Lepisosteus oculatus: one gene and its partner. The protein of the gene in region 1 purifies or fractionates together with the protein of each later gene. This does not show direct contact. Links are inferred from orthologs where the notes say so. Each region holds a gene or a part of one and is shown in the gene's direction. Other genes may lie near its edges. The genes, in order: tgfbr2b and smad7.

Region 1 (11,590 bases):
TGCCTTATGAGACTATTCTGTACATTACAATAGAAAGGCGACGATCACTGTTACTCTAAGTGGTGAGGGAAATTACAGCTTAAAACCCTCTGATTTCTTTAAATAAACAGAATATTATAAAAATATTTTCCACCACGATGTCCTAACTTTTTCTAAGGGTGTTATAATACTGAATCTCTCAGACAAGACAGATTAGTAGTAGTAGCTGCTTCAACCTAAGAATGTCTAAATTCAGCCCTCTGTCATTAGCATTCTGAATTATATCAAAGCAGGGACTTTGTGTGAAGACGAGATTTTACTTTCTTTTACTCTATTCAATTATGGCAAAAAACAACACATCTTCCTGTTCTAAAATTGTTCACAATAATTTTAGAAGACCACTATCAACAGAAATAGAAGAAAAAAAGGACATATTGACAAATGAATGTTCGAAAGAAAATTGCTTTTTTGTATTGTTGCATTTTCAAATAAAAGAAAAACATTTCTAACGGACATGTTAAGACACGCATCCGGCAGTCAGGCCCTGCATATTATATCAGATCATACAGGTACCTACTATCATAAACACGTGAAACCCCTGCTGTAAAGAGAATGTTTTTGCCTGAAATGAAACAGAACTCATTGTATGCATTTTATCTTCATGGAACAAGAGCAGTTGGGGTGATCAGCCCTAGCTCTAAACCACTTTCTATAACTTTAATACTACCTTTCTTTCATTTTTTCTGCTTTCTGTTCCCCGATCTTCTCTAGATCTTAAAATCCCAATGACCATTGGTGAACAACTCCCCCCGCTCTTTATTTATGGTTTCTATCTGTCACTGAGATCGATTTGTGTGGGTTGACATCACCTAAATACAATTGCCTATCCAACATTTAGAACAAATGGCCACAGGGCATCGACTGTACATAACAAACATATGTTAGAATTTTCAAAACCAAACCTACCTTGAAATACAGTTCATTATTATACAAATGTCCAGAATGTGCAGAACATACTGTACAATGTATATTTATATGCTTCACATTATAAATTACTACATTTGTATCATGCCACCCTGTCCCTCTGTCTCCTTATGCACTTCAGTGTTAAAATGTAACATGCTTTTCTGCAATTCAATGGGAAAAAATGAATACTGGATGAAAACATGGATAATCTAAACACATCTTTTTCCAAAGTCAAAACAAAAGCACACCCCTGATCCAGCTGACACATTGGACTGGTACAATGCAATCTATCTGTACTTCTCTCCACAACAGCTCAATTTCTGCAAATGAATGCACCAGGCTGCAGGTCAAGGGGATGTCGGGCTCCACCCAGCCTTGCAAAATAGATTGTTTAGTTGCAGTTAGACCCTTTAGCACAATACATCAGCCTGAGGTATGAGTCATCGCTGAGTAGGTGGAGTTGTGGGCTTGAGGGGACAGTCATACCAGACTCATCTGAAAATATGCCGGCCACTTACCCCCAGATACATCTCAATGCTGAGCAGAAAGAAAGCATTAAAGGTTGTCCTATCATTACGATGCAATAACGGGAACCAGGCTCCTAATATTACTTGTATGACCTTATTTCATGCGCACATTCATTGCTTCCCATTAATTTGAACTGCCACGATTTGTGTTGTACTTAGAAAAGGAGAGTTTTTACTTTTTCTTTTTCTTCAGTTCAGACCTGCAGAAACGTAAGTGAATGTAGCTTGAAACCAGCAGTTTGTTTCCTTTCCATAGTTGCACAACCAAAGCGAAAAGGAAACAGGAAGCAAAGCTGTCCTGAAGACAAACAAGACAAGTCCTGAAACTTGTCTTAATAAAAAGAAAACCTAGTCTAAGGTTAGGCTGGATGAAGTGACTGACGGTTTTTCATAGTGTCTGCGAATGATACCTTTGCACATCTGTAAATGTTTGCTTTTTCTTTAGTAAATCACACAGTATATTTTCATTACTGTGTTTAGCAGCACGTGGTACAAATGTTTCAACCTCAGTCTTTGAAATGAACACGTCACCTTACACAGACTTCTTGATACCCGTTGAAAGCAAAAAAACAAACAAATTTGCACACATTTCAAAATAAATCAATCGGACAATGATTTTGATATTGTTTTACAGTGCCTGTGCCAGCTGTTCCTTCCACTACACCTTGAGTCAAAAATACATTTCACCAGGGATGACAACATCCAAGGGCTGTATGCTTTGTGAATGCTTGGACTACTTGGTGAGATACAGTAAGTTTGGCTTAACGTGCTAGGTTAATGGCCTAATTGGCCGCCTGCTGGCCACAGGACGAGGAGGCTCAGAGCCCTTTCAGAAGGAGTGACCCAGGAGCTGCTGTGAGGTGGAAATGGTCTGGAACAGGCAGGCTTGAGATGAATACGAAGGGAGGCATTCAAGATTAGTATACATGGCTAATTTCATAATGATTGCGATTAGGTACAGCTGCATGAGACTGACTTGTCCGTGTTATCCCTCCCGAACTTCGCTTAATAACTTCCATATCATATGCTTTTGTGCAAGCAGAACATTATTTGCAGGAAGCTGTGTACCATTTGTGTTGAAGCTCCACTTTGAACTACCCTACTGATGCCTGAGCTAAACCTCAGAACAACTGAAAGGCTCCCTGGTTCTATGACTTAAGCCTGCTGGTATGTCACTCCTTTTGCTCATTCCACAGTCTATACATCTCCACAAGCTTCATAAACTAATGAGTCACAGGGAGCTCGGATCAGATGAACTCAGTGCAGGTGTGTGGGAGTAAGTTGCTATTGCTAGATACAACAAAAAGAGGATGTCTATAAACAGCCTCTTGTTCTTTGAAATGTTTCATAATTACTTGTTTATTTGAAGTGAAATATGCAAGTGTTATTGCATACATTATACTGTATATATTTCCAAGGCTGTAGGTTTTTCTTTCTTGTTTCCTATTACATGTTCTTATAGTCTTAGTAGCGGTCTGCTTGGCTGCCAAGGGACTTTCCAATATGTTTGGAAAATTCCTCCACATAATCTGTAACATGAGCATGTAAAAAGCACCTGGGCTTCAGTATTTTTGAGCTGTGTTCTGCTTACGTATCATTTGTGGTATTGATGATGCAGTGGCATAGAAAGCTATGATCATGTAGCCTAGCACTGGTGCCACAGATAAAAAAAGGCGTTAGTAGCATCATCCGGGTCTAAAAAACATGGGGAATCCATTGAAAAGGCAAACTGGTGTGCCAGCTGACAGTGTAGTACTGTAACACAGAATTGCACTGGAGAAGCGATTAAGATTCTGGACTCCTTACTGGATGGATTTGGGTTCCAAGCCTTGTTAGGCAGTGCACGACAGGTACTTCTCCAAATTGCTCCAATTGAAATACCAGTTCTACATAAAGGGGCACAATATGTTAGCAACTTTACCCTATTTACTTTAAAGCACATAATTTAAAATCAAGGAATCTTCACATAGTATAATACATGTATAACAACAGGGGCATAAAAATCACAATGGAGAGCTGGCCTTCAAATACACTTTAATCCCATCCTTCTTGAACACTTACTGTAGATAAGATAAGATTACTATAAGCCATATACAATTTCTTGCATAAGGAATTTGTCTTTTCACATACCCCACCTTGCTCTCTGTGAGACACACAGACAGGGAGAGAGAAGCTTGGGGTCAGAGCACAGGGACAGCCATTTATACAGCACCCCTGGAGCAGTTGGGGGTAAGAGCCTTGCTCAGGGGCCCAACAGAGAAGGATTCCTCTGCCGGCCACAGGATTTGAACCAGCAACCTTCCAGCAGCAGGCACAGATCCTTAGCCACAGGCCCACCACTTCTGGGATGTCTCAAAACACATTCTGCACCTGTAGCCCACTGTCCTGAAAGTACTTCCCAGTTGGTCCCTGCTGGGTGGAGGACAAGGACGGGACAATCCAACAAGGGTCCTTTAACTCACTCATGCCTGTCAGAGGGAAACTTGTGTAGGCTCTCAGTGCGACGTCTGACAACCTTCTATACTTGAGAATAATTCCTACTTTGTAAGTGGTGACTACTGCTCATTTTCTGTTAATATATTTCTAAGCACCTGATGTGGTTTCGTATAAACATCCACCCTTTTCTCTTTCAGACTGAAGGCACGAAGATGATCCAGAGTCTCCTTACGGGAAGGACAGGTAATAACTCTAGTCCAATGTGTGGGGTGTTTACGTATATGGATACACAGAATTCCAGAGTGCATTGATTCAGAATCCATTCTTTTATCAATTATTCTATACTATGTCAGTAAACCATATAATGGACGACTGAAACACTACAATCATAACCACTTCACACACAGTGAACGTGCAAAAACAAGAATCTGCAAAACAAGAATTAACCTATTATTAAGATTATATTAAATTTTTTTGCCCACAAAATAATTTTGGTTGAGTCAAACAGTAACCAACTAACTTTTACAGTAGACGTACTGTATTTTACTACTAGACTTTTCTGGCAGGGGGACTTCACAAAGGTCACATTTTGAATGAGCTGTAAATGACTTAAATGAGCTTTGCTGTGAGAGTAGCTTCCTTTTTTCATGAAAGTGGGAAATTTGGCAGTATCGGAAAGGCCACCCCGCCCACCAGCAGTGTTTACTCTTCAGGCTATTAAAATATTACTGTGAATTCCTCATTCAATGGGTTTACTTTATATGGATTAATTTAATGGACAGATATTAGCCTTCTAGTCTGATCTGGCTTATTATCCTGCTGAATAACAAGCACCCACAATCGTGTGCAAAACTGTTTCAGGATTCCACACATTGTTTAAATGCTTTTCTTTGAAAAGGTTTTGGAACATATACAAGGGGGTTAAAAATATGAAGTTTAAAAATCATCAAATTGTAGCCTTACAAAACGTGAATCTTTTCATAATGCATCATACTGTTATCTGTATATTTTTTAGATATGTATAGGCTGCATAGGAGTGGATATGTACAGTATGTGTGTACTGATAATGCCTACCTTACTTTCATACAGTAATGATATTAAACTCTTTAAAACACTATAGGAGACTAATAGGCCTTCGTCACATGGCAAGCAAAAGAATGTTATTAAACACGTGCAACTACCAGCACAGTAAAAAAAAATCTCCAGCATGGCTTTAACTGAGATGAGAAGAACAAGAAGTAGCTCTGTCTGAACTTGCTTCTCAGACACACTGGACCTTTGTGTTACCTAGAGTTGTCAAAACTTGTTACGTCGGTATCCCGGAAACGGCGAACGTACAGTAAACATTTGAGGATAAAATAATATACATCGTCTTGGCAGCTAGTTTAATTGCAGCGTTGCAGAGGGAGAACCACACTTAGCCGTAAAAGCAGCATAATATATTTTTGTCCGCCGTTCCCGGTTTTAAAAATAAACATCACGTGCTAACACAAGGAAAATGCACAGTGTAATAGGGATGTACTGTACATCAAAACACAAAGATGAATAAATCTCATTGCTTTCACAGGACCCCTGCTATTTGCTTTAGCTGAAGACACCCTTTGCAGCACCCTGTTCTCATTCTGACACAGTTCTGCTAGAGCCTGCTTTGCAGAATGGATGAAAGAATTCAGGTCTTAAAACTGACAGTATAAAAACCAGCACATGAAATATGTTCATTTGTCTTGGCCGTGCAGCAAGGACGGGCTACTGTTAATGTTTGGGTGTGCTGTTGGAGCTATCCTGCAGACGAAAAGAAAGGATTGCTTCATCTTTCTAAGCAATCAGTAGTGTTTCTGTTCCAAATGCACGCTGTGAAGGCCCTCTTCACTTTCATTAGGTACCATGTGTTGTGACTGTCCTTTAACAATAAATTCTAATATCCTGGAATTAACTGAAAACCAAAATATGGGTGTATTCAGCAAGGGCTGTAAAAAAGGGAACATGGGGCCAGGCAGAATTGAATGAGCTGTTCCAAAGAGGTTGACAAATACCAAAACAGATGATTACTTTGAAGCACAGAGTGAAGTAGACACAGATTGAAATTAAGGAGGTAGGTATCTCTTAGTACAAAGGACCGTACTTAAACATAGAACCTCTTCATACTGTAGCAATTAATAAGCATTTAAAAATGTTGAGCTACACACAGGAATTCAATCTTTTCCCATAAAATCAGATTATGTGATACAGTATGTGTGAAAGAATCCACCGACTCTTCTGCTATCATGTACTGTAGTATTACAGTAAATGTCTTGCATACATTTCTTATTATTTTACAGTGGTTTTGACTTCCTTTTCTATAGAGTTACTAAAAATGATCCCTCCATTCAGCGATAAAGTATTAAGACACCCTCATACGTACTAAAAGTGGTTATGTTCAACAGGAGGAAAGCATCACAAAAGCATGCTAACCATTTATATACAAGTGTATAAACCCCCAAAATAATTTTTCAATCCTGTGTGTCTGTAAAAATGATCCCATCCTTCATTGCTATGCATTTAATGAGCAGAGGGAAATCAGTTTCCATTTTTTTCGCCAATATGTGAATATTCTAGATGCCACTTTGTTCCCCATTGTTGTTTATAAACAATCTCCTTTTGTTTTTCCGTTTAGATTTTAAAATGTATCAGAGAGCATTCCTGTAGGATGAGTGTGAGTCAAAAAAGACTCGCATTTCAAGGGACTTGAGTGAACAATACTTTTCCCATAGGCTTCAAACGGTTGTCAGTAGTGCTCTTAACACGCCACATGTCTTTTTAATCATTTTGTTTAGGTTTTCAGGAACTTTGCCTCCACTCAGAAACTTTTGTCCAGACAAAAAACATTGTGTGTATATCCCTAATTCCAAGGTGAAACGCAGTGTCGCTCTTTTTACCGACAACACGTGAGATAATAACAAGTAAAATAAAAAATACCTTAATTACATGTCTCCACCTCCCCCAGGAAGTGCATTTTCACCACTATCTTGCAGATAAACTGCTACTTAACAGAAAAATATTCGAAGAATATATGAAAACCCCAACCTGCCCTGGGATTTTAACCTTGTTTTTAAGTCCTGTGAGGAAGATCTCTGGTAACTAACCACAGGACTCATCGGGAGACACCTATTACTTGTACGGAGGACGTTAAACAAGTTAAAACTGCAATAGCTGAAAAGTTGTTTCCCTGTAGGGCACTGCCTTAAGCGCACCGTTTTAAAAAAAAAATCAATGTGATTTTTATGTGCTTAATTTTCTTTTAAATTGGAGCATACCGTCCGTCTAGAAATGCGTCCTTTGGAAACCGATGTTTTGTGTGTATCTGTCTTAAGCGTGTCATTAGGCGCTTGCCTCGACTTGAAGGAGAGTAAACTACAACTTCTAAGGGACTGACAGCTTCGGGAGAAAAAAAAAATTAGTCCTGCCCTTCTCTCAAAGATTTCCTGTTTCGCGAAAGAAGTGAATACAGTCACTCTCTGACTCATAACCCGGGGTTTAGAGTATTTTCATAGCTGAAGGCAGGCGCACAGAGTTTGAGACCAACATTTTTTTTCTCCAAAAAAAAAAAGAAGAGTTGTTTTCTTCGACTTTTCTTTCCCCACTTTGCAACAGAAGCGCACAACGTTGAAACCTTCAATTGGGAGGACGGGGGGAACATTTCCTCTCCGCTTTTGAAGGGCAAGGGAAGAGAGAGCAAAAAAGAAACATTTTAATGAAAAGTCAAGGAAAGGTATCGGTGTTTGTCTAAATGAACCGACTTCGTTTATCAGTCGTGCTGTGGAGCACTACCCTGTTCGCCAGCTCTGTGCTCTTCGGCCGGACGGGTGAGTCTTGTTGAAGGTTTTATTCACCCTTGAACTTCACCAATTTCTTTACCCCTTTTTATAAAAAAATATATTTTAGCCAGTCCAGTCGAGTTCGTTTTTTTTTTAATTGTTGTCCACAAGCTGCCGGGTCTGTTTGAGAAAGCAGCAAATAAATAAATAAAACGTTTCTTCTATCGCAGGGGGCTCGTTGTTGCAGAAGTACAGTATACGCGTTATTTCCTTATGTCTTTTGCTTTTGAAGGCTGAAAAGTTTTTTGAGGTTAAAAACTAACAGCAATGCGTACGGATATGCGCCACAGGTGGTTGAACTGTGAAAGGGCAGACGACCCCCCCAAAAATGAGAAATCATATTTTGGGGGTGTCTTCTGTTGTTATACCTGTAAACGTGTGTTGGAGTACTACGTACTGTATCTTTCTTTTTCTTTTCAAAATGATCTTGCAGCCACCAGACTATCAATCTTCAAGGTTAATACTACCATGTTTTTTTTTTGCCCATACGGAAACTGTATTGCACATTGTAGATTTCTTTATCTGCTGTAGCAGTTAATGATTTGTGCTTATATACAGAAATATAGTAACGTACATTTGGGAAATGGTGGTGTTTCTGAAATGTATCTGAGCACCTTGCCAGTTATCCGCTGGTAATGAAAGTGCTGTAACTGTTTGGGGGAAGTTCAGTTTTTCTTTTTCACTTGTCGGAATTTCTCTCCCATGTAAACGCTAATTGCATTTGTTCAGTTTAGATATGATATCGAATAGCGTGCTCCTTTTTTGCCATACAGTGAGTTATATCCGGATGAAAGTGGTGTTGCTGGGTTTTAAAGTTGAAGGCCCTTACTCCGGAGTGTGTGTAGATGAATGTACTGTATACGGTTGTCAGTGTAGTCTCAGAGGAAGAGCTATCTCCTTTACATTCTTCTTTTACAGCAAACCCGTTGTTTTGTACTGTGAGTGATCAGTTATTCGATTGTTTATATAAATATGATGAGCACTTAAAGCGCCTTAAAACAGGCAGCGTGAAAACACCAGTCGTGGATTAACAAACTGTACTGTAAAACTTAGTGGCGTCAGGATAGGTGCAGTATGCAGCAACTTTTTGCACAAGTGCCTGAAGCGATTTTGTGTGGGGGTAGCCAAGTATGTTTTGCACCTCGGCCTAACACTGCAACGCAGTTCGGTCTTGGAACAAGTTTTTTTTTTCCTCTCTCAGTATTGAAAACACCACTTGAAGTTGCAGAGTTTTCCAAATAAATTCTTGCTGTGCAGACAGAGTCCCACTTACCTGTTTGGTTTTGTAATGAATTTTACATTTATACATTAGTGGTCCATACATCCATTTTCTAACCTCTTTATCCAATACGGGGTCACTTGGGATCCTGAGTCTATCCCAGCAAGTTAGGGAGTAAGGCAGGATACACCCTGGATGGGATGCCAGTCCATCACAGGGCACATACAGACAAAAACACACGCACACTTAAACCAGGGTCAGTTTTTTACAGAAGCCAGTTAACCTCCTGGTATGTCTTTGGATAAGAGCACCCCGAGGAAACTCACTTAAACACAGGGAGAACATCCAGAAACTACTCTCAGGCAGCAGCCCAGGTCCAGAATTGATCCCAGGGCTACAGTGCTGAACTAGTGTACCCCTGTGCCAAAGCAATAGACCACATGAAGTCAGCAAATACAGTGCATTTTTCTGATATACCTTGTGCATTTTGAGGGAGAAAATTGTGTTGGTATGGAGTAAGTTTGCAAGTAGAGAAAGTGTGGGGGAAAAACAAGCTTTATCAGAAAGAGTTGTGTGAGACGAAATGTCAGTTTCTTTTGAAAGATGACAGATCCCAGATAGATAAACTGCTATTATATCCATGTCTGTAAACCTATCCTTTTAAAGCTGGAATGTGCTTGCAATTAACATGAGCATCAAATTGGATTAGTAATATTTCTTGCTGCATATAATTTTCTATTTATTGTTCTTTCACTAAATCTGTCATTATTACTTCTCATGTGGTTTTAATAGTGCTGAGTACTGTGTATGTTACAGAGGACTAATAATCTAATGACCTAATGTTGAAAATATGAGAGGTGTAGGAATTTCCTGTCAAAAGCTGTATAGATTGCAAAACAGTCATGTACGGAGAAAATATTTTGCCTCTCAGGCCTCGGAGGATCCAAGCAATAACACATAATTTCAAGAGCAGTGGTATGTTTATTTCACAAAAGGTGATAAGAAGGTTAAGTAATGAAAGAGTAAATCTCTGTAAATAAAGTGCTTTAGACAGCAGAGGGGAAAAAATGTTCTATTGGAAGCTACAGTGTGCGAACCGGTGAAACGTCGTGATCTGCAATGTACTGCATGTGAAGGCCTGTGGCAAAGGAACACCTATCTTAGCTTTGTGTGTTTTCACAGAGCCATACAATGTGTACAATACATCTGCCCTCCTGCTGAGATATTCAGAATGGCACCATTGAATGCACGCTTTACTCTTTCACAAGATTGACTTGGGTGCAAATCAGGAGGGTCGTCTTGCGTTCATTTGTGCGTTCCGTTTCGAGAACGAAATGGACTCGTTGATGCTGCAGCAGTGCCTTGGATGCAGTGATGCTGCTCGATGCCATGTTGTTTCAGGCATGAGTGACGCCCCATGGCAGTGGAAGAGATACATTGTTCCATTTGCGTTGCTGCGATTGTCTGGATTGCTGTCTGTGAAAGGAGCAGAACCAGAAGGAGTAGTTTATTTACGTTTAACAATAATCCTAGAAGGCATTCTTGCTAAGGCTAAACAGCTGTGTGACCACCTAGCTTCGTAATCACTGGGCACTTGCAGATCGGCTAGGCTTTAGCTGTGTTATGCCTTTGCTCGGTTGAATATTGTTGCTTAAATAACATGCACATCATAACAATAAAACACTAACTCATCACGGAACAATTTACATGTGTATAAGTGTACATATATGTATATACATATAAATATACACATACAGTATGTATATACAGTACATTTCCCTTTTTCTTCTTATTTTTCAGTACTTCAGTTAGACCCTAATGATTGCGACAGAGAAACGAAATATCTAGAAATTACTTGGCATGACTGCCTAGCTGTAGGAGGACTGAGCTGAGGAGATGCTGCAAGACTGCGGGTGGAGAGGTGTGGGTAGCAGTGTGACAGAGATGCATGAACTTGCACTTGTGGGGCAAGAACCCAGGACAGAGAGGTCCTGGGTTCGAGACGTACTGTATATACGCCGGCGAGCAGAAGTGTGGGAGATTAGGACCTGACCTTGCTGCCGAGCTTCCGTTATAAGCCCCGTAACGTAAGTCACCCGTTTGTCTGTAATTCATATTGAACTGGTCTGGCCGTTCTGAACGAACTCGTCCGTAAATCCGAAAGCTGGAGGCCAAATGGAGACCACAGGAGTGAAGCTAAGCTCTTCTGTCTCGGAGCAGCTCAGCGAGACAGCATGGTCAGCCTCGAGCTGCTTTTCTCTCCCGGTAGGCCCTGTCATTGGACGGCTCTCCTGTGCACAGGCCTTCACCTCGTGCCGTGAAGTCAGTCCTGCAGAGGCCCCGAGGCTCATCCTGTGACCACTGTTACTCACTGAGGGGCAGACATGCAGCGCCGTAATTTTCTGCCTTTTCATTACCTTCCCGTTCCCTACTGCAAATTACAGATTGGCTGACTAGTCATTATCATCGTTCTGGTGTTTTGCCCTCTGGTCCCAGTGGATTGGTGTCCCCCGGTCGCTGGGGGATAAGCGCACATGCTGTGGCTTCCTCGCGCAGGGCAGGCCATGAGAAAACAAACCCACCAATTAAAAAAAAAATGTCTGCGACAG
Region 2 (11,636 bases), on another chromosome or scaffold:
TTTAAAATCTATCAAACCATACTAACCAACCACATTTTCTACTTTAAAATGCAGGGGGGTTGACAAACATGGAGTTTTTAGATGAGGATTGTATAATGGCTAAGTACTTTACAGCTTCAGGGCTCCTGACTTCAGTCTCAGCACCTACTTTTTTCTAGATCATGTTTGTGTAGATTCTGTCTGGATACTCTGGATTCCTTCAACCTATAAAAGACATGAAGGTTAGATTTGATTGACTGCCCAAAACTGTGTTTTACTGGGTGGGGGTCTTAAGAATTTTATAGTCCTCAGGTTTGTTCTGAATACAACTGCTCTGTACTCTTAACAAATGAGCACTGTGGGTTGACTCTCACTGTGGCATTCCTGAGCAATATACTGTACAATACTGTATATCAGGCTTTACACAAATAGAATTAAATTATTTTTGGTAAATTCCAGTTTGTATTTAATTCCCTTGGCCTCCGACAGACCTCCTAGGCCACCAAGACAACATTTGACACTCTTCGTGTTTTGAGGTTTGTGAGAATGTTGTTACTACATGTACCCATTCTGATTTGGGATCAGGGAGGATAACAAGAACCGAAACCAAATTAGCTTAGATTTGAGCTGTATGTGAAAATGGGGTATACAGGTTAGTAGCTGGCTGCCTGCTTTCCTGGCGACTTCCCCTGTCAGTGGAGTCTCAGAAGTGATTGATTGCAGTTTCCACTTTAACCAAAGATAACCATATTAAATGTCTGTAAGGCCTGAACTGCTACCTCACTGTCTGAAAGGAAGTTTGCATCCTTCAGGGACTAAACAGTAAAAGCTTCTATATATACTGTATTTGGTACATTCTTGGTTGAAAAAAAAACTTGATGCAGCACATGTTGAACATTTTCCTTGTATAAAAAGCATATTCAGTATATTACTTGATAACTGCATTAATAATACTGTATTAAAAAAACAATATTGACAATAAAACAGAAAGTTTGGTAGAGCCAGAGCTTTGGAAATAACTTATCATAACTCTGAAAGATGAAAACCAAAATGCTATGACTTACCTTGAAATCTACATGTGGTAAAGATAGCATTGGTTTTGATAGGCTGGCTATTTTACCATGAACTATTAGAGAATTCTAATTGATTGCTGGGTGTTTATTTCTTGTTGATACCATCTGTCTAAGTAGGTCATTTTCCATTAAGCCAGTGCTAGGCACACATGGACCATTCTGTTCTTACAGTTACAAGCACATACTATACAGTATACATGCATGTGTCTGTATTCATATAATTGGTTAATATCAAGTTCTGGGTTAATGGGTGTGTTCTATTTTTAAGGTGGAGCACAACCTCCAATGACTTTGCTCATGTGCATTTACACACCAAGAACAGGAGGCACTTTTTTACACCATGTGCTGTGGGTAAATGGAGAAAGCTACCCAGCCAGTTGTTTAAACTGATACCTTTGTCTTTGTTCAAGAAACAGCTGAATAAAACCCTTTGATCAATTAGCTACTAGCAGCCAAACAAATTAAATAGACTAAATGACCTTCTCTCATTTGTAACCTATCTAATGTTCTATGTTTTGAGCAGAAAGCTGTCATTAAATTACTCACAAAGGAGTGCGAGAACATTGTAAAATTTCACAAAGTAATGATGGATGACTTATAGTGGTTAGCCCTCTCCACTGTGCAGAATTGTGTAAGGTTTAAAGAGAGACAAACGAGAACCTCATGCTCTGGGAATCCATGTATGACAGGGAATGCTGAAACCACTGAACATGTTTGACAGGATCATTCAAGCAGATGGGCCTCAAGTTGCAGGCTTTGCAAGTGACCTAGAAATTAGCCCATAACTGTTTTAAAAATCACCCTATTGATCACCCTGTTTGCATCATATGAAACCCACAGAGAGTTTGATATATTCATAACTTAGCATAACAGGTACTGACAATTAAAATTGAAAATAACACTTTAATATTGCTTATGTGCCTTCATGTGTCACAAGTGCAGTTCATTCGGAGTGTGATTTAATCCATAATCTCTCTGCAAACCTCCACACAGGCAGGCATACACTTCAAGTGATCCAAAAGATGTAGCAAGTGAAAAACTGGGTTTGCTGTACCTTTGAAGTTCCAAAAGAATACGTCATTGTACCAGACTCATAATAAATGAGCCCTGCTACACATGGGCAGCATGACATGCCTTTAACTGATAACTTCTGGAATCAAATGGCTTTTGAAATAAACCTTTCTTGATTTTGCTACTAGGATGTTAGCTGTCTCTTCCACTGTCACATTCAATGACATATTAAATGTAAAAGTGCAAAGTATTACAAACAGGCAGAATGAACATTACAAAATGTAGAATTTGTATTTTATGTGTTTATGTTAAATAATTATTTTCCTTACTGTGAGAAAATAATAAACAGGTTAGAAAAATACTAGATATATGGGCAAATGTATAGAATTTACACATTTATCTATGTCTTGGATAGTAAAAAGCACTTCCACAAAGTGTTTGTTAGTGTTCTGTGGTTCGCATCTCATTCTGTTGATTCCAAGGAAGTCCACACAGTTAGCTTTGCCAACATCTTGAAGGACTTTGAATATTTTGCTCAGGTCCTATCTTGTTTGTTCAAGACTAAGTTCTTTTAGGCTCTCAGTGTAGTACATTCATTTTTACAAGGCATTTTCCCATGAAACCTTATTACAACAGTCTCACATTTCAACATGTTTAACATCTATCATTAAACTGAGTTTCTTGATTCTTTCTGAAGTGCCTCTGTGTCTTATATTCATTTCAGTATTTGGATGGACAAAGCTAAACCTAATGTAAATTATATTAAAGATATGATAGTTTCTGTTAGTTTGTGAAAATATTGTTGTGACCAGCTAAGCAACCATCTTATTACAACCTGGTAAAGCTAAAGGTATTTCACAATACTAAAAATGATTTATGTTTTTATAACCTGGGGAAATTAAGAAATAACTCTGTCAGAAAAATGCACATTATCTATAATGTGGGAGCTAAATTTATTTCAGAGCTAAGCTGGGGAACTACAGGGCTGGTCTTTTGTGTTACATGTAAAAATGAAGAGCCTGTCATTAAAATGGTAAGGTCAAGAGGGAACAGTAAACAGTGCAAACTCCAGCTGGATGGAGCTCATGTTCGGAACCACATTTTAGCCTGTGGTTAAAATACTTGTAGATTATTTACCTATTTGTTTTACCTTGTATATTTATTTTTTTTAAATAAATAAATGCCTTATTTCCAAACTGGCTGTGGAAAAAAATGGAAAATGAAAAATAAGCCTCATATGTGGCATCATTTCTTTTTGAGCTTTGGACTCGGATAAAGTAATTCTGCAGGAACATTCCAATACAACACTCAAATAAAATAATATTTTACCTGGACAAAATTCTTAAATATTATATTCCTTATTTTATTTTTCTCCAATAAATAATATTTGTTTGTTTATGAAAACAAAACTTGGGATAACTGTGTTTTACAAAGGTTTGGGATTTTCTCATGTTTTTGCTGTCCATTTTATAATTTATTAAGATTGGCCTGGTACTAACATGCATCACAGTTCTATTATATAACACATCAATTTCCCTACGGGATTAATAAAGTATAATCTATCAATATAAAGACTTTTTGCAATTATCACACATACCTTACATATAAAAGTATTTCCCTTTTAGTAATATGCAGTATACTAATAGTCAAGCAATCTTGCATGAAGAGTATAATTGTTTAAGAACAAGAGCACCATGACACAAAACATCGCATCTGATAAGGTTGCAAACTGTATAGTATTTTTTTAACAGAGAACATAAGTATTATGTAGCAATATGAACCATATATAATTATTATAGCCTGTTGGTGAAAATCGATGTGTTTTTGCTTTAATTGCAATGGATATGTTTTGATTTTTATAATTTTTCTTATTCTGTTGAGGCCATTCACAGCGAATATATTTGTTTTTGGTTGCGTGACGGAAAGATGCAGATTTCAGTGTTTTTAAGAGAATGGTCGACTCGAACTTCACTTTATTGTGAAAATTGCTGCAAGGAGCAATTGCATTTTGTTACAATTAAATTCAAACAACACCAAGAAGACCTCGCACCCGGGACGAACAGTAGGCAGCCCTCGTACTGCCGCCCATGTAGTACAACGCACTCCCATTCATGCAAACCATTCAGAACACAGACGTGGGTCACACTGAACCGGGTAGCGCCCTCTGGTGTGCGACACGTGCCCTCCGATGTTCCCTTCTGTATGTGTGGGCTACCAAATTTCAGTACCCCATGGTACAATTTTCACGATGATTGCTGAATTACGTAATTTCACTTTATAACCACCCCCCACAATTAAATTTCAATTATGCCCTTATGATACTGGTATATGTATCAGGACAATACAATAATGTAGTACTACCAGAAATATCCCGTGATACATTATCGTAGCGATACCTTAGGAATCCTGCGGTATTGCTCTATTACAATAACTACATGCTATGCTGTATCGTGACGTCACAGCCCACTTCTGTGCGCTTCTGCATGATTACTTCCAGACTACCTTAAATGTTGAAGGTTGCCAGTTGAGCGCAGCTCTTGTGCGGCGCCAGTGGGGAATCTGCTAACAATGGGACTGAACCATTGACTGGCGGCGCCTCCCAAGCACACATCTCCCATCATCATTATCATCCATCCCTCTGCCCTGCAGCGACACTGACTGGCACCCATATTAACATACTGCACCTCCCCTACTGTCTAGGACACAATTACGTCGGCATTCTTAACTCACACAAGATCTCTGTCCACCCAGCCGCCGAGGCCGCTTAAAGGGCCAGTTTAATCATCCCGAATGAATACACTCTACACTTCGCACTCAGTTATGAAAAAAATTATACTTACAATTTCGTTCCAGCCGTTATTATTTAGGGAAAAAACACATTAGAATTTCGGCTGTATCCATTTCTTTATAAAACACTGTAAAACGAGCCATTAAAATTGTGATCGCATATCTGTAAGCTAAATCTCTCGATTTGTTCGAAAATGTAAACCGGCCAGAAGTATCTTTTCAATGTGCCTACTCTGCTGTGCTACTTTGTTACTTTTTATCTGGGCGAGTTGCTGCATGGTGAAGGCTAGGTTACATATTATTATGGATCAGAATTATGTATTCCACCACTATGCAATTACTGGTATTTCGTTAAATTTCTGGTCTAGATATTATAGTTTAAAACGTGATCATTTTCAGAGGTCCAGAACACAGACGACTACTGTACAAAGAAGTAATCACGATTTTTGTCCAATTCAAACACATTTCAGGGCAGAAAAATCTTCTTCGCACCAGTTTCAGTGTTCTTACGCTTTATCATACAGCACCTTCACAAGACATGAAGTGAAAATACGTGAAATGCGTGTTGTGATTATTAATGTGCGTCGATAGAATTTCTAAATCTTTGACAGTAGAAGTATTGTGTCTATGCATACGATCGCAAAATACTTATTCGTGGAAATACTCGGTAAACCACCTCGCACCTTCACTATAGCCCAATACAGCTAGACAATTACTAAGACGCAGAAAAAGAAGTACATGTGTAAAATACCCTCGCTCATCAGTAGCTGCTTCAGAGATGCGGTTTTCCAACATCTTGCGTATTAACAATTTCTGTAGCCTAGTTTCTCGAGTACACTATATCTGAAGTGCAATTCAGCTTAAAGCGTATAAGGTAACGGCTACAGAAACGATTACCCACAAAGTTTCTATTCGTCTCTACAGTATCTCTCTCATTCTGGTGCAGTGAAATAGGTTAATGCAAGCCGTCTTCGACTGTCTGTCACGGCACAATGCCAACTGTTCTGTGCATTCTGCTTTTTTAAACCGTAGTTCATTTAAACCAGTCTCACAACCACATCATTTAAGTAGATAGTTTAGGTAAGAAGCACGGGGGATGTCCCACAAACACGTCAGAGTACCAGAAGAAGAACTGATGATTGCAAATTGATCTATGCGTTCGTTAACTATATACACTGAAAATATACAGATACACAATTAATGAAGGGTGACATGGAGCCGATTGCATACACAGGAAATGGTTAAAAATGCTACATTTCATTGTTATAAGTGTAAACTAACGCATCGAATACTATACCAAATAATACAATCAGAAGTTGATATATATAAAATAACAATAAGAAATTAGCAAAACATGCTTCACTAAAATGAAATGTGTGTATCTTAAATTTGAAAGGCCGAAATTGATCCAGTTAAATAATTCTTCATTCATTTTATCAACACCTCTTTGTTATTAACCATGTATTGTCTATTATTAACCAGGTTTCAGAATCGCGTTTGCTATTGAAAAGTAACCTTGCTGTGGTGTTATTAATGTTTTCCAATTTAACTGCCCTATCTGCCACCTTGGGTTAAACCGTATCTGGGTTTCGGGGCCAAGTAAGCCAAGTACACAGGACACACACTCGTCTTTCCGTTTATTATAACTTAGATATTGACCCATTTTACTTTCTCAGAGTTATAGTAAATATCAGTTTACTTGACATAATAAGTCTCATCAACCTCAATGCAATTATACTGTATACTCTGATGGTATATATATACACTGTCTATTGCTTAGAATCGGTCATTCTGAATGTATAGACGTTTCAAGAAATGCTAATAATGGTAACATTTTTAAAATGCGTGAACAGGACGAATATTAATTCCAAAGCCTAAATTACATCAAAAGTGTCATGTTAAACGATCCCACAATCATACCTTTATTCAATCCCTCTCATACACTAAACATTTTTTTAATATGTTGGTTAGCGAGAAAATGCAATACATTAATACATGGAAAAGCGGACACAATGTCTTCCTTTTGCTTGTCAACTTTCATTTTCCAAGTCAAACGATTTTTCATCAGCTCTGAGAATATGCAACTTTTTTTTCTTCCTAAGAACGATTTCTCTGGCTTTAAGTTACTTGATCTCTTGTTTGCGCAACACAATCACTTTTTTTTTAAAGCGACAGGGTGTCTAGACACCCACGTGATGGGGCGCGCCAATGCGCACTGGAGACAGAGCTAAGAGCGGAGAGAGTCGGGGAGAGAGATAAGCAAGCGAGAGAAGGCAAGGGCACTTTGGGCAATTCACGTCACTTTCAGCCCTCTCTCCCGAAGATCGCATCACCTCTGTGCAGACTTACAATTTGGAGTCTCCTTCTTTGACGAGACGGAAACTTCTGCTTAAAAGAGGTCGGATAACGGAGAATAAGGAAATATAAAAGATACGGTGCTCGTAAAAAAGGGACGAAACCGAAGGGTCTGCACAGTATTATACTGGCAAAGCAAGTGTTCAGTACAAGACATTGCAAATTTGGACTGCCACTTCACCAGGTCACTCACGGATTTGCTAGAGTTCAGACCGGTTTGGATCTTTGGAAAAACAAACAATAGCTTATGATTTCTTAAAATTAATAAACCTAATGTATGACCAAGAGTGCAGAACAGACAGGCGGATATAATCTTTGAAAGAAGAGAAGGGGGAAAGACAGTCTCAGCTAGTCCTGTTATTTAGCAATCGGATCAAGGATTGTGTGGATTAAATCTTAAGAAAACCAGGACAAGATTGGCTTTGGATGTATTTTCTCTCTGCATTTTCTACTTTTCGTAACATTTTTATTATCGTTACCATTGTCCACTGTAGTTTGTGGTTTATTTTTTTCACGTACTGTTTTATATTACGCTTTAAATATTGAAGGAACTATTAATGTAACGATTTTTGATTATTTCCTAACATTACCAATACCGATGAGTCCAGGTACTCCAGTTCGGCTGCTATTTTTGTGTTTTTGCTTGGTTGCATTGAATAGTATTACGCTAACATAACCTACTCTAGTTTTATTTCAGTATTTATCATTGAAGAACTAAACTGATTAGGTGCTCCTGACTTTTGTACCCCCAATATAAAGCTAATGTGAACGGGGGTTACACGGAAAGCCGTGCGCCTTTTTAATTGGATATTTTTTGTGGAATTTTGGTTTAGAAATAAAAGAGACTGGCGTATGCTACAGATTGCCTTTGCTGCTCCAAATCCTACGTTTTCCGTAATATTATTTCAGGCTGCTTGTCGTTGCCTGGACTCGGATCCCGGATTCTTCATGATTTGCGGACATCATGCTCGTTTTTTAGCCGGGAAACCCTATTTTCGTCCCGCATGTTCAGGACCAAACGATCGGGGCTCGTCCGGCGACTCTGGAGGAGCCGTGCGCCCGTGGAGGGCGACGGGGAGGCGGATACTCGAACGCATGGAACCGGGGGCTGCTGCATGGGGAAATCGGCTAAGGTTTCCAAATCTAACCGCGGAACGGAGGCTGAATTGAAAGCATTGACCCATTCGATACTGAAGAAAATCAAAGAGAAACAATTAGAGGCGCTTTTGCAGGCGGTGGAGTCAAAAGGGGGTGCCAGGAGCCCCTGTCTTCTCCTGCCGAGCAAAGTGGACTCCAAACTGGGTCAGCACACGTACTCCCTTCCTTTGCTGCTCTACAAAGTATTCAGGTGGCCGGATCTCAGGCATTCCTCGGAATTAAAGAGGCTATCTTGCTGTGAATCTTATGGGAAAATTAACCCAGAGCTTGTTTGCTGCAATCCTCACCATATGAGCAGGCTTTGTGAATTAGGTAAGTTGGTATTTTCTTTCTCCGGTATTTTTAAATAACGTGACAAAAGATAACAGGCATGCTAAATTTTAACTCAAGAGTCGAAAAATGTCTGGCCAGGCAATTTGGCGACAGTATTCGGACATTTTTAAGGGACAACTGAAAACCGTAATGCAAAGTTTTTGTAACCTAAAATCTAATCGATAACTTTGTGTGTTAGCGGTGGCAACCTGAAACGACCCAGTTAATTAAAATTTAAGACAGTAGGTAAACGCAAAGAAGCATAGTACCAATGTATGAAAGACTTGTAATGTCTTTGTAACAGATATATCTGTACAAGAATCTGTAATACATATGCTTTGATCTCCTTTGTAAGTTTAATAAACTGCATTCTAGACTAAAAAGTAACATTTTTTCCGTGTGTAGTAAACAAAAAGGTGTGGTAAGAATATATAGAATGAACTGCACTTTGTCACATTTTCAGTGCATTAAATTGTAAAATAAGTAAGGTGTCTACCTTTTTATTTTGGTCGCCTACGTCTGTTGCATTTTTGACGTTCCCTGGAGCCAAAATTTTCAACACACTTATCAGCTGTAACGAAGTGTAAATCGGATTATGGCTAAATTAAACGAGGCAGGATTGAGATTTTTTAAATTACTTTTGATGGTCCTGAGAGAGGTCATTTTATATATATATATAAATTACACTAAAAACTTCAATCCGATAAAATCAGTCTTTAAGAATTAAATACACGAGGTGCTACAGGATAACCGGACAGTCGGGATCAAGTTGGTAGTTTCCAGAGACTGGAGAGTTTTCAGTTGAGCCAAAAGAGGCCCGTATCACACAGCCTGAGTCGCAGATAGCAAGGAGACTGGCGCCAGGCGGCCCCCTTTGTTTATCTGACTGCTAAATATCAAGGCAATCACCGCCTCGCTGCCCTGCCTCCAACCCTCGCAGCTAAGACAAACAGTTTTCTAAAAGAATGCCACTGTTATCATAAGTTTCTGTCTCCCCTTTCTCATGGCTCTGTCTTTTCTCTGCCGTTTTTCATTTCAGAGTCTCCCCCTCCTCCTTACTCCAGATACCCAATGGACTTTCTTAAACCACCTGGTGAGTTAAACTTGGTTTATTTTGCAATTTGTTTTACCTTAACAGTAATGGCTGGAGGTATATGTGAACCTGTCACAGCAGGTTTATTTTTTGTTAATGGTTTGATTTTTAATGAACGTGTGACATTGTTTCATATGACTTTTAAGTAGTTGCTGAAATATTAATTGTACTTTATTTTGTTATTGATGTTGATTCACCACTGCTACGACTGATGATAGGCATTTCAAAGGCAGCACAAGGTGACAAGCAGAAATAACGACTCGATTGTTATAAGACAGCAAGGTCTACCTGTGACATGTAATGTACATATGGCTCTGTGGGGTATGAAGGATCTTTTGCCTCTTTTGCAAAATCTAGAGTCTCCATCAGATGTTTTGATTTATGGCAGGGCAATCAGAATGCATTTGTGTATGCCAGGCCCCTGTAATAGGATGGCCTGCAGCCAAGACTCAAGCCCATTCCAGGCTGGCACCAGCTCTGTAGTGGTTGTCTGCACAAACTTTTGGCTGGCGGGTGACCTGGCAGGCCAGATAAACAGCACTGGCAGCAGAGCACAGCGGGCTGGGGGCAAGAGGGGGGTGGGAGGGGGTCAGCGCTTGAGAGGAAATCGGAAATGCGGATTACTTGGTGGGGAGGGGGCAAGATATTTGGAGCCACATTTAATCTGGGGAAGGGATCTGCTGATTGTAGTAGACAGACATGGAGACACCTTGGGATGAGTTGCAAGTGCAGCCTTTGATGCAGCTTTGTTGTTTTCAAGTGAAAAGAGAAAAGAGTCGGTCTTGGTGTCTAAACATGAGTTTGGCAAGTGTATTCTATTGCCTGTGCCATTACAGCTGGATTAGCTGGACATGAAATGCTGCCGTGTAGTTCACAGTTTGATAACGCATGAATTATCCACATTTTGTAAAGTTTGCCCTTTGTTGTACTGTAGTCTTAGTTCAGACTGGTATGTATTTGGCGCCGACTTTGTTTCCCAGCTAGCACTGGCATTCCGACCTCCCTGCTGGTCTGTTGTGACACAGATAATCTAATGTGTCTCGAGTTGGAAAAATAAAAGCACACCTCTAGCACTTTCACCCACTTCGTATTGGATGTTCAGTACTTTTCCACTGAATGTATCAGAGTTAAATATTTCACGTTTTGTGTATGTTTTTTTTCTCCACCACAAGATATCTTCCAACATGGTTTTAAGAAAAAAAAGTATCTAAAACTAATACATATATTTAACCCTTCAGTATGGTTTTATTTACAAAAGTTGACTGGCTAGCCATATGTGCTGTTTTATATCTACTAATGCTAATTTGAAAGAATGTTTGAGTTGGGTCAGGAGAGATAGAGTCATTTGTCCAAGGCTGCCTGGACAGTCAGAAAGGCAGGTTTGGATTCATACCCAGATACAAGCTTGGATCCTCCCAGGTCTAAGGTTATGCACTTTTATAGTGAGTCATAAAATAATTGGCGCTGGAGGATCTGAATTTGCAGTGAGCTTTTTGAAAAAGTATTTTCGAAGTGTAAAAGCATTTTTTTCTAGTGGCAGTGTATACAGTATGTTCTTATTTAGTGCTGTTTAAACTTTTATTTTAGAGTTATTTTTTTTCTCCTGGTAGCTGCTTTTAAAGCTCTGGTACATTGTGAATGGGGACTGTGTAGCCACATTGCCTAGATAGGAAAACATATTTTGGGAAACTGCTTCCCTCAAGGATGCTTATCAGGGCCTCATTAACCTTTTACTACTCTTCCGGTGAGCTTGGCAGAGTCCTTTTTCTCCTGCATTCCCAATGAGTGATGCGGATTAATTAGCGCGTGCTGACCCTGACAGCGGTAGCTGAGCATCAATAAACACAAAAAAAGTCAGCAAATAAGTG

Evidence for each region.
Region 2: the proteins of tgfbr2b (region 1) and smad7 purify together in Homo sapiens (affinity purification with western blotting; 3 studies listed by BioGRID). This does not show direct contact. The link is inferred for Lepisosteus oculatus from reciprocal best matches to the Homo sapiens genes TGFBR2 and SMAD7.

The regions. Positions count from the first base shown.
Region 1 is NC_090705.1:41,079,584-41,091,173, forward strand, and holds the start of tgfbr2b (TGF-beta receptor type-2), read left to right. Parts: upstream 1-7,203; 5' UTR 7,204-7,674; coding exon 7,675-7,750; intron 7,751-11,590. UniProt on the Homo sapiens protein: Transmembrane serine/threonine kinase forming with the TGF-beta type I serine/threonine kinase receptor, TGFBR1, the non-promiscuous receptor for the TGF-beta cytokines TGFB1, TGFB2 and TGFB3.
Region 2 is NC_090698.1:21,266,487-21,278,122, reverse strand, and holds the start of smad7 (mothers against decapentaplegic homolog 7), read left to right. Parts: upstream 1-7,083; 5' UTR 7,084-8,209; coding exon 8,210-8,675; intron 8,676-9,714; coding exon 9,715-9,768; intron 9,769-11,636. UniProt on the Homo sapiens protein: Antagonist of signaling by TGF-beta (transforming growth factor) type 1 receptor superfamily members; has been shown to inhibit TGF-beta (Transforming growth factor) and activin signaling by associating with their receptors thus preventing SMAD2 access.